Linked DNA regions of Xenopus tropicalis. The protein of the gene in region 1 purifies or fractionates together with the protein of each later gene. This does not show direct contact. Links are inferred from orthologs where the notes say so. Each region holds a gene or a part of one and is shown on either strand. Other genes may lie near its edges.

The links.
Region 2: the proteins of psmb2 (region 1) and psme2 purify together in Homo sapiens (affinity purification with mass spectrometry; 3 studies listed by BioGRID and IntAct, counting the BioPlex papers as one, with this or other methods). This does not show direct contact. The link is inferred for Xenopus tropicalis from reciprocal best matches to the Homo sapiens genes PSMB2 and PSME2.
Region 3: the proteins of psmb2 (region 1) and psme3 fractionate together in Homo sapiens (co-fractionation; 3 studies listed by BioGRID and IntAct, with this or other methods). This does not show direct contact. The link is inferred for Xenopus tropicalis from reciprocal best matches to the Homo sapiens genes PSMB2 and PSME3.

Annotation. Positions count from the first base shown.
Region 1 is NC_030678.2:81,977,615-81,981,371, forward strand, and holds the start of psmb2 (proteasome subunit beta type-2), read left to right. Parts: upstream 1-956; 5' UTR 957-1,031; coding exon 1,032-1,122; intron 1,123-3,530; coding exon 3,531-3,653; intron 3,654-3,757. UniProt on the Homo sapiens protein: Non-catalytic component of the 20S core proteasome complex involved in the proteolytic degradation of most intracellular proteins. This complex plays numerous essential roles within the cell by associating with different regulatory particles.
Region 2 is NC_030677.2:139,415,150-139,418,906, reverse strand, and holds the start of psme2 (proteasome activator complex subunit 2), read right to left. Parts: upstream 2,807-3,757; 5' UTR 2,729-2,806; coding exon 2,681-2,728; intron 432-2,680; coding exon 399-431; intron 1-398. UniProt on the Homo sapiens protein: Implicated in immunoproteasome assembly and required for efficient antigen processing. The PA28 activator complex enhances the generation of class I binding peptides by altering the cleavage pattern of the proteasome.
Region 3 is NC_030686.2:21,570,645-21,574,301, reverse strand, and holds part of psme3 (proteasome activator complex subunit 3), read left to right. Parts: coding exon 1-19; intron 20-137; coding exon 138-224; intron 225-1,793; coding exon 1,794-1,874; 3' UTR 1,875-3,657. UniProt on the Homo sapiens protein: Subunit of the 11S REG-gamma (also called PA28-gamma) proteasome regulator, a doughnut-shaped homoheptamer which associates with the proteasome. 11S REG-gamma activates the trypsin-like catalytic subunit of the proteasome but inhibits the chymotrypsin-like and postglutamyl-preferring (PGPH) subunits.

The DNA.
Region 1 (3,757 bases):
TAGCCAGACCTCCATCCTCTCCCGTACACCCTTGCATTGTAAAATTGCAGGTGGAGATGAAAGTGCACAATGAGTGGAGAGATGAGGGCACAGACTAGGGGGGAGACAGACAGAAGAGGTACGTACCTAGTGCCCCCCCCCCCCCCCCCCATAGCCCATTGGCACACGCCTCTTCTGCCTACCCCCAGTTTGGCCCATGCTCTTCATTGCAAAGCAACTTTTGTTTTTTTTACAGTACATTTAGAAAGATGATAAACAAGTGGAAAAAGTCTTGGAAGGACTGCTGCTGAGGTCAACAAAACACCAACATTAGTTTAATACCAAACCATTGGAACTTCTGTCACCTAAACTGCACTAGTCTGACTGCACTAGAATATCATATAGCAGGCTGACATGCTTTCTCCACCCATGAAATATAAATAAAAGGACAGACTATCCATTTAATACACCAACTTTTTTAGTGTTTCAACAGTATACCAATAGGTAGACCAATTAACTGAGGTTAAAATGACAAAGGAGTATATAGGGTTGGTATTTGGGAAAGTATAGGCATAGCATGGCTCCCTGACTTTTATATATTTTCTCATGTTTATCTAGAAGTAGGTTAGTGAACGTCGTATTAATCGTATTATCCAAGCTCTAATTTTATATTTTTTTAAGAAAAGGTTGCAGATCTCATTATGATATTTTGAACCTGCACATGAACAGATGTCAAATGATTTTAATCATAATTGTTCAACTGTTTGATAAGTGGCTCAATCAATTGCTGGTGTACAACCACCTATACACAGCGTAACCACAAAAAAAGAGGCATTCTGCCAATAGGAATACTGAAATTACCAGGAAGAGTGACAAGACGTGTAGCGACAAAACATAAAAAAACTACATTTCCCGGCACCCATCATGTTACCGGCGATATCTGATGACGTTAGTAGAGCGCGCCCATTCCCGGCCTTGTGCTGATTTGCTGTGTAACGTCCCGAGGCCGTAATTAGAGACTCATAACTCGGGTAACCAACAGCGGCGGGAATATGGAGTATCTGATTGGCATTCAGGGCAATGACTTCGTACTTGTGGCTGCGGACACAGTGTGTGCCAACAGCATCATTAAGATGAAGCACGGTGAGTCTCACTGTATGGGCAAGACTCTGGCAGTGCCATGGAAAGCAGGGGCATTCCAAAGAGCACAGTGTGCTTTAGTCTCAAGTTTTCGTAAAACTACAAGGCCCAGATCCCCCTCGCAACTAGGATACACTATGGAAAAGCTATGGCTATTATTATTAATACAAATAACTAACACTGAGTCAGCCAGTTACAGGCTTTGTATCGGGAACAATATAAATGAGCAGCAAGCAAGCTTACTATTAGTATCTACACCCTGTACCTGTACTGAGAGATCATAACATCATCATTATATGTTTGATCAAAGTACGTGGTTCTGTTCTTATACAAAAAAAAGTCGAAACTTTATTTAAAAATCCAGATTGATGAATGTTGCAGGCTTTATGATTAATATCCATCAAATGAAAAAAAAATGATAAAAATACTGTTTGCCAATAACAAGGATTGATACTGGGTTCCTTTATATACTTTAGGTTGTTATTTTATTAGAGAAACATTTAATCAGGAAAGCGTTATATGATTTTATATAATTTAATGGTGTCATTCTGGGCAATTTCTGTTGTCAGAGCTAAAATATATCGTGAATAGCGCTGTCTCATTTTGGAACCAATTAGCTGCCATATCTTTTCGAGGGACATATTATATAAAAATAATGATGTCATACACGGCACAGCATTTGTGTCTCATATGCAGCCTGTGGTTCATACAAATATGTTGGAAGGCCACCTCCAGCCCACAGGCTTCCAGTTGGGCAGCTTCAGGTATTAGATTCTGTACCTTCTAAGAGCCAATGTTTTTAGGAAAATGGGCTGAGGTGTGTGGTAGCATATACAGGCAAAAGGGAAATAACAAAAAGGTGTTGTCTGTTATTAACAGAATGAAAATCATGGAAGAAACAGTCATGTCATTGCTTTGAATTGTTTAGAAGTGAAAGTGAAAGTAAATGCTAAAATCTATCTGTGCTTCCTGTTTTTCCCCTCACTGGATTTTTTTTCTGAAACTATTTCCATTTTTGTTTTTATTAACAAGTTTCCTCACTTCTTGGACAATGTAGGTTATTATAATGCTTAAAAACTATGATTGTTTGCAAGAATTTTTTTTTTTACCACCATCCTTTAGTGGTGCTCTTGGGCAGCCTTCAGTATGTTAGTCATACCAGAACTAATAACTCCCAGTATCCACCTCACCAGCTCTGCTGACATCTTTGTGGGTGTATTTTTAAATGGGATGTTTAAGTTTATGTATTTTTTAGTATGTTATAAGCTATGCACTTGAAGTATTTTATGTACTGTGTATAGAAATACAGAGAAGTGTGTTGAGCTTTTTAGCAGTCTTTGGGCCATAAACATCTGTTGGAGTGTGCTGTAAATAGGTGGACCTTTTTTAAACAACTTTTCTGTTTGTCTTCATTATTTGTGTTGTAAGTTTTTTTCTTTATTATCCTTCTAAGCCTGGCTTTCTCCTGCCAGCAGCTGAAAATGCTGTTTGGTTGAGGTGTCCATTGACCCCCACCAGCAACCAAAAAAAAAGGATTTTGAGGCTTTATTATTATTAATCTTCTGTTAGCTTACGAAAGGTCTCCCTAGGTTCTATAGAATTTAGCAAATGGCAGTCAGATTTAAATTTCAAATCTGTTAGTTGCAGGGAAAAACTTTGAAGAACAAGCGAAGGTATAGCCAGTGGAGGGGTGGTTTTGCTAAAATATTAGGCAACCCCAGTGATTATAATCGCTTACCTGATACCCCGGGCCAGGGAATATCTATAGATGCTCCTTATCAGCAACTTCTTCAGCTTCTTCTGTCCAAAGTACTCCAGTATTGCAGTGGCGCCCCGCACACTAATGCAGAAGCTATATATGGTGGTGCTGGTGCATACTTCTGGACCTGGACATGAGAAATCAGAAGAAGGTGATCACACTAAATAAGCGTTTACACTGTATATATCCTGACATGAACAGAATTCGCTTGTAGAACCAATGTCATTATGTTTAATGTTGTTTTATGTTACAAATGCATAAATAAAAACCTTTGAAAAAAAAATAAGCGTTTACAGAAATACTCATGGCCATTGTAGTTTTCTGCTAACAAGATCACCTGTCCGTAGTATCAAGTAAATTATTATTGTCACTGGGGAGTGCTTAACATTTGGCATCCTACAATGATTTTCAATGATTTTAACCTTACTTTTTCTTTAATAATTCACAGTCTTAGAATTCTGTCTGCACCATACCCAAATAAGTTTAACAACCCCTTTAAGAACAAATTAAATGAATAGAGGTGCTATATACCTTTAGCCACAGACCCTTCTAACTTGAATTTCCTGGTGGTCATTTACCTGGGCTGAAGTCAGGTATTTATTTTAATACAGTTATGTGACACAGCTACTTATGTTCTGTTTGTTTTGTGTAGATGTGGACAAGATGTTTAAGATGAGCGAGAAGATCCTGCTGCTGTGTGTAGGAGAGGCAGGTGACACAGTCCAGTTTGCAGAGTACATTCAAAAGAACGTGCAGTTGTACAAAATGAGGAACGGTAAGTTGCATCTAGTTACTGTCAATACTAGCATGTCTTCGTCCATTCACTCACAATCTTAAAGCATGATTATTTCAGTCAGCTTGATTACGTGCAGCATTTAT
Region 2 (3,757 bases), on another chromosome or scaffold:
TGTTGGTTTTTCCATGCCAATTCATTGTTTTTCTAAAAATAACTATATTTACTTGGGGCTGCCTAATATATTGGTGAAATATTGTAAATGTGAAAAAATAATGTTGAATGATGTATGTATGTATTTATTTTTTCACCCATCTGGCATATCGTTCTATTGTAATGCAGGAATGTACTTAGGTAGGGATTGTCTGGTTTACCAGATCAAAGTCGCTGATATTGGTGCACTAATTTTTTTTAAGAAGATCACTATTGCAGCAATGCTGCATTCATCACACAAGAATCCTATGTAAGTTTACAAAGCATTTTTATATTGTTCTGTACATGCTTTTAAATGAAAGATGTGACTTTATCTTGACAGTGACAAGATATTAAAGAAGAATAAAAAAAAAAAATTACCTGACTGAATAGCGCTTCACGGAACCCATTAACCTGTAAGAAGAAAGAGAATGGATTTTTGAACATTTTTTGTAAACATACAAAAATGTCCTCAGATCTAGGGAGTGTATCCTGAGAGCCATAGCCCAGACTAATATATACTGCAACTTTTTCTTTGCTGCTTTTAATATTAGTTGGTACAGTGATGGTCACAAACATTTGTGCCAAACACCATATGTTAAGTAGGCATGCCTAGGTTTTGGGATGGTGAAGTGATTTGTGAAGTATACAGGATCTAGAGGAATGGTGCTTCCCCAAAAGACTTTATTACATAATTTAATAATACTCTGAAATGCACATGGTCCTTGCACTGTGGCAGATTTGGGTGAAATATTGACTATTGTATAGTGTAGTCTTCTGTAACACAGTAGCCAACTTGTAGCCAAAACCATTAAATTACAGTTTTAGAATAAGGGTTACATTGGCACTCTTATGCTTAAATCAGTGCTCTGGATTGGAAGTAGATTGGGAAGAGGTGTGTAAACATTAGTAACTCTCCACACATACAAGTAATTGAACTGTAGCAGTTCTTAACCCTTAAACTGAGGAGTTAGGCACCTATCACCTAACCTTACATTTTCTGTATGTATAGAACTATAAGCACACCTACTACATGAATAAGTGTATTTTTACAAAATAGACAGCAGAGGGACCTCTAGTTACAGAGATGCAGATATTTTTTCTCTGCTTAATCGTGTGAAAAGGTTTTCTCTTTTTACTCATTTGTGCTGATGACTCTGCAAGTTTTTCCACCATCTTGGATTGATTGTTTATTTCACATTACTCAAATAGCAGACTCATTTTGACTAAATTCATATATTGTTTTACAAAATGCAACTGATAAAGAAAAATGTGATCTCTGAAACAGAAGAAAAATCAGGCAAAATAAATTTTTTAATCAATTACATGCTTTTATATCTTCATATTTGCTCGATATTTGTGTGGTCAATGATATCTAATGGTCCATATTCAGAAACCTTTTTTTTATATTACAACTTATTTACGTAACTAGTGGGAGGTCCTATCAGATATCTATATATGTGTCTATTTGTTCAGTTGTAACATGATTCTTTTGCAACAGTAATTTTGAATCTGTGCAAGCAAGGACAAGGCTTGTTTCCAACTACAAGATATTTATAGAAACGACAACAAGGAAAGCTGGCTAATTTCTGGGCTTTTGTGCATCCCGGGGTCTGCCATCAAGAGGCTACCTAGCTCTGGGTTCAGCAAAATATTTAATGAGTAAATGTTAAGACAATTTATCTGCATGTGTAATTTACTAACACAAGTTTTACAGCAATCAAATAAGCTGTCTTTGTGGAACAAAATGTATTTTTGTAATACAATGTGTAAAGAGAATTTTTGGTATTAAGGGCAACTATCTCATAAGATAGAATGTTTCCTACTACACTACAGCTGCGGGCTGATGGAGCCCACACTTCAATTTGTGGAAACAAAAGTATCACCTGTATCCAGCCAAGTACTGTGGCTCAAGGGTTCTTTTAAAAATAAAATTGTATTTGGCATTAATATTAAATAGGTAGTTCATTTTAAAAATGAAATTGTATTGTAAGAAAATGTACAGAGGCTGCAAACCCTAGCAACCAAAGGTTTGCGTGTTCCATACATTGCGCCTTATTATATTCCATAATTTTTACCAATGTTTCGGCTCCTTTAAGATGCATGTATATTGGAGTACGGGCCACCTTTGTTGTATGTATTATATTTTTTGATCCTTGGCACTCAGCTTTAAGGAAGAGCAACTTTCAATGCAAATCATATTTAAAAATGTTATTTTATATATCTATATATATTATGCAGAAATAGAAGGTCTTTTATTGGCCACTTTTTTGTTCACTTTCAGTTTTGCACCTCAGTGCTGCAGCTTCTTTTCTAAAGTGTTCCTAGTTACAGGAAATTTTCTATTAAAAAATAATGAGAAGCAAAAAAGCAAATGCTCCTTTTAAAATTTTAGTGACTTTGTATATACACACATTTATACATTAGTGCAAGTGAACCTCAGAGTCCAATTCCAGTACTGTGAAATTCCCACACATAGTTGTGACATCACAACCCAACTTTAGAACCTTCTTCCTTCTTACTACCTTCGTATTGTTTTTTTGTATATGCCACATTTGCAGTAATAGGTTAAAAGCTTTTATATATCGACAGGGTACCCTTAAAAAGGCCTGCTGTACTAGCTTTACAGATCTAATAATATAAACCATGACATACACACTTACCTTCTCCTGGTTGTCCTGGGAAATTTTCAGACGAATCACTTTAGCCATAACTGTAGTTAAAGAGGGTCTTTCACCTTCCTCGGCCTCAGCTTCCCTTACTGTTTTGCTGTGTCTGTGTTGGGCCTCTATCACTCTGTTACTTTCAGTTTTACTTTAGCTGCTGCTTTATACAGTAGAGAGGGGAGGGGTTAGTGGCAATAAAAGGGAATTTCCATCAGCTTATAAACTGCACATTGGCAGATGCATTGCGATATAATTTTATTTTGTGAATAACGTGATGTTGATATGACTTAATAGCTTGTTTATTTTAAACCTATGGCCTCAGCAATCTAAAGTGAAAGAATATATTATAACTCTAATTACTTTGTAAAGTGTTTAACTACCTTGATTATTATTTCTGTTATTTTTTTTTGCTGCCTAAACATGGTCTACTATGGAGTAAAATAGGAGCTGGGTGCAGTGCACCCAAGGTTATTGGTAATATAATGTATGATCATGTTGGATATTAGTACAATTTGGCCATACATGGGGACAGCTGAATTACATTGATCCACCTAATCAGAACATAATGCAGAAATGGTTGCTATGCAGTTCCAGGTTAGATGATACCCCCATACATAACCCCAACTGAGCTGTCAGTTGGACAGTTTTTTTTCTCAATATTTTTTTTGACAGATTCAAGTTTACAATACAATGTGAATATATGGGCTCAAAGAGGCCTTCACAAAATAGTAAAAGTTGTTTAAGTATAAAAAACCACTAAAAATATATTAAATTTACCACTTCAAACCACACCCATTTTATCACAATGGTGGTAGTGCAGCAAAAACCAAAATGCTTGGTCCTCACTGTGGGGATATCAACAGTTATTCATATATGAAAGAATTATATTATGTCATATTAAGACACACTCAGAAATCCATATGCCTCCTCCTCCCCTGTGGATATCACAGCAACCCCCAGCAACATAATTACACACCTTAGGGACCATTTAATGGCTGTTTCCAACTACTAACAAACTCCCAGAACAAATCCCTCCCAGGTTCACCTCTCACAGGCAGCATAGGGCAGGCAGAG
Region 3 (3,657 bases), on another chromosome or scaffold:
AGCTAAATACCCACATGTGGTAAGTACAGAGCTCTTAGGGTGGCAGTCATTGATCAATTTTCTACCTGCTTACCTTTTTCTCATGTTACTAATAAAGCATAATATAGAGTGTTTATCACCATCATTTTTCCTTGCAGGAAGATTATCGACGTACAGTGACAGAAATAGATGAGAAAGAATATATCAGCTTACGACTAATTATTTCAGAATTAAGAAATCAGTATGTAAGTATGCAAAAATTTTCTGCCACGTTTTGACACTTCAATATCTGTACCTGAAAGTAGAAGTTTGCCTTTAAAGGAGAAGGAAAGGCAAAGTTACTTGGGGGTGCCAAAATGTTAGGTACCCCCAAGTGACTTGAATCGCATACCTTTTACCCTGGGCTGGTGCCCCTGTTTAGAGGGAACAACACCAGCCCGGGGTAGCTGCAGCACTTCCTCCTTCCTGTATCGCGCACGCATGCGCAGTAGAGTGAAAAGCCGAACTTTAACAGAGGAGTCGGCTTTTCACTCTCCTGTGCATGCGCCTATTGTGTTAGTCGCAGCGAAAAGAAGCCGGAAGGATGAAGCGCATCGCTCCAGGTACCCCGGGCTGGTTTCTCCTAACAGGGGCACCAGCCCGGGGTACGAGGTAAGCGATTAAAGTCACTTGGGTGCTTAACATTTTAGCACCCTCAAGTGACTTAGCCTTTCCTTCTCCTTTAAAATGTTTTTGGTATATAATATAATAAAAAAAAAAAATTGGCCTGTGTCTGACCCTACCTGCTTTTTCCCAACTTGACCCAATATGCTGTCATTACTTATATAGCTGCACTCGTCATGTCTGATATCACCAAAGAGGTTAGAGCTGGAGCAAGTATATAAATATAAAACCGCAGAGGGAAGAAAGAGAAGAATTGGAGGTCAATGACATTACGGGCTGGGTGTGGTGGTCGACAGAGTCCAGCCTGTCTGTGACCGGATTAAAATTTTACAAGCACGAACCCATGTTGTTAATAAACAGATGGTCCCAATACATAGCGTTACTCAGTCAGTCGTTCATGTAGAACTGTAGTTCAAGTATAGACTGTACCAACGCACACAACCATTTGGTCAGTTCTCTACAAACAGACCATAAGGCGGTTGTTCACCTTTAAATTAACTTTTAGTACACAATAATACACTGAGACAATTTGCAATTTTTTGTTTATTGCGTTATTTAGCTTTTTGTTAAGCAGCTCTCCAGTTTGGAATTTAATCAGTTATCTGGTTGCTGGGGTCTTGTTTAACTTCACAACCGGGCAGTGGTTTAATTGTGAATTTGGATTGTGAATAGGAGGGGGGCTGAATAGAAAGATAAGTAATATTAATAAAATTGTAAAATCAGAGCAAAAGAGTTTGACCCCCCCCCCCCCCATTTAAAAGCTGAAAATATGTAGAAGCGGAAGACAAGTAATTCAAAAACTATATATAATAAATAATGAAGATCAATTGCAAAGTTACTAGGAATAGGACATTCTATAACATACTAAACATTAATGTAAAGGTGAACAACCCTTTTAGATAAAATTCTATGAGAACCGGCAACCCTCTATCTGCTTCCCCTTGGCTGACTGTCAGCCGACACACTTTCTGGGGCTTTCTGACTGAAGCGGAGCTATAGTTCATATAAGTTTTAAAACTTGTAGAAAGGTAGCTCTGTAGGCAGTGTAGTAGTCTGACTGGACCTTGGGTCCAAATTGCTGTTATTAATGCATCCTGCCAATCAGATCTGAGCTGTCTAACAAGTGTTTTTTTTTTTATACAAATTGACAGGTAACATTACATGACATGATCCTGAAAAATATTGAAAAAATCAAGAGGCCCAGAAGCAGCAATGCTGAAACACTGTATTAAATCAGTGCATCCTTGTGGAGCCTTCCTTTTTTTCCCCCTCAGTGTTTGGATTTTTTTTTTCTTATTTGAACTGATGAGAAATGCAGACCATCATTGCCTTTTTTGAACTTGTGACATTCTCTCCACCATTAATGGAAAAATGTCTGAAATTTTGCAACATTTGCCAGCTGTAATTCTATATAGAGGGATTATCTCAATGCTATCAATACGCCACATCAGTTATTGGGTTTGCTAAGAATACAACAATGTCTTGTACTATGGAGCAAGGTGCTACAGTCAATAGTGGCACTGAACCACAACTTGCTTTGACCCCTGTTACAAAAGGATGCTGCAACTGAATCTCTTATGCTTATTAATGTGTATCATATATAGTCCATAGAAAAGCCATTCAGCCTCTACGGCAAAGGCTACTTGTAGCTGTAAAAACCCTAGTAAAGTAGCTGTTTGCTACCAGATGACCAGTGATTGACCGTTGTGTAATTCATGTTATATGGCTTTCAGTTGAAGGTTGCTACCTGTCTTTTTTTCGGACATTCAGAAGCACAAATTTTTCATTTGTTTTCCCTGAAACCTTTATAATCCTATATGAATATACATCCCATGGAAGCTAAGGCATTTTAAGCCCTTTAGGGCCAAGGGACCTTGTCACTTTTTGCAACTTTTCTTGAATGTATCACAATCTTAGTGATTCTGTCCTGATCCTTAGTGAGTTCTTCTGTCACGCCAAGGTCATCTACTGTATCTTTTTGCGTATCAGGTTTACCTAATTATTAATATACTACAGGAATAACATATATTTTTTCTATCATGTTGCCTGCTTTATTGCCAGCCTCAGCCTAATGGCATATACAACATGTGTGGGGATTTCGTCATGAATCGGTTTTATCAAGACAAATCACGCCATCAGTACTCTTTGGACGGTCTTGTGGGAGATCAGCTCCAGTAGTCATGGGCTAAGTCTTTCCCATAGACCTTACTTGAATGCAAATCAAAGGTGTTTTGCTATGGCAAGTTGTGTTGGGAAAAGTCCTGAAGACACATGTCCAGTGCAGGCTTTTCACACAAGCCCCCTTAGCTGTGTATTTGGCTTCATAAAACTGCTCCTCTAAACTTTAGCGTAGGGGTATTATGTCTTATAAGTTATGGGCTACCTTAGCGCTGTCAGCTATAGGACCACAGGCTGAATGTGGCCCTCCAAATTCTTTTTATGACCAGTCTTCTCAGAGGCTTTATAGACTTCACTATATGGCATCATCATTTTAATTTAATCTGGCCCTCCAATGAGAAATAATTGGCCCTGTAGATGTAATGAGTTGGGCAGCACTGGGCTACATTTTTGTTTTACTCTCCTTTGTCTTACATTCTTACAGGGGGAATAGCGCCCAAACTGCCAAGTTGACTTATCCCTTTTTTTTAAACAGAACTTCTTAATAGTGTTAGAAATCATAGCGCTTATTTTTGCATAAAATTGTTGAATTGTATTTGTTTTTGCAATGGCAGTCTTTGTCCCTGGTTTCTGAAAGCTCTTCCAGCAAAAGTTTTAATGCCTACATATCTCAAATATTGTAATGGTAACGTGTTTTTTTCCATTGTCGCCTATAAAAATAAACCTGCACTATTGATCTGTAGCCAAGCTACAAGCTATGTAATTACATCTGTACTCTTTGGTTGTGATTCAAAGATATGGTAACCCTACAAGGATCTTCCTGTGGAAGCTGAGCTTGCACTTGTCTACAGTTGTGCTGTGAGAGGAAAATTTAGATCAAGGCAGTTACTAAACTAA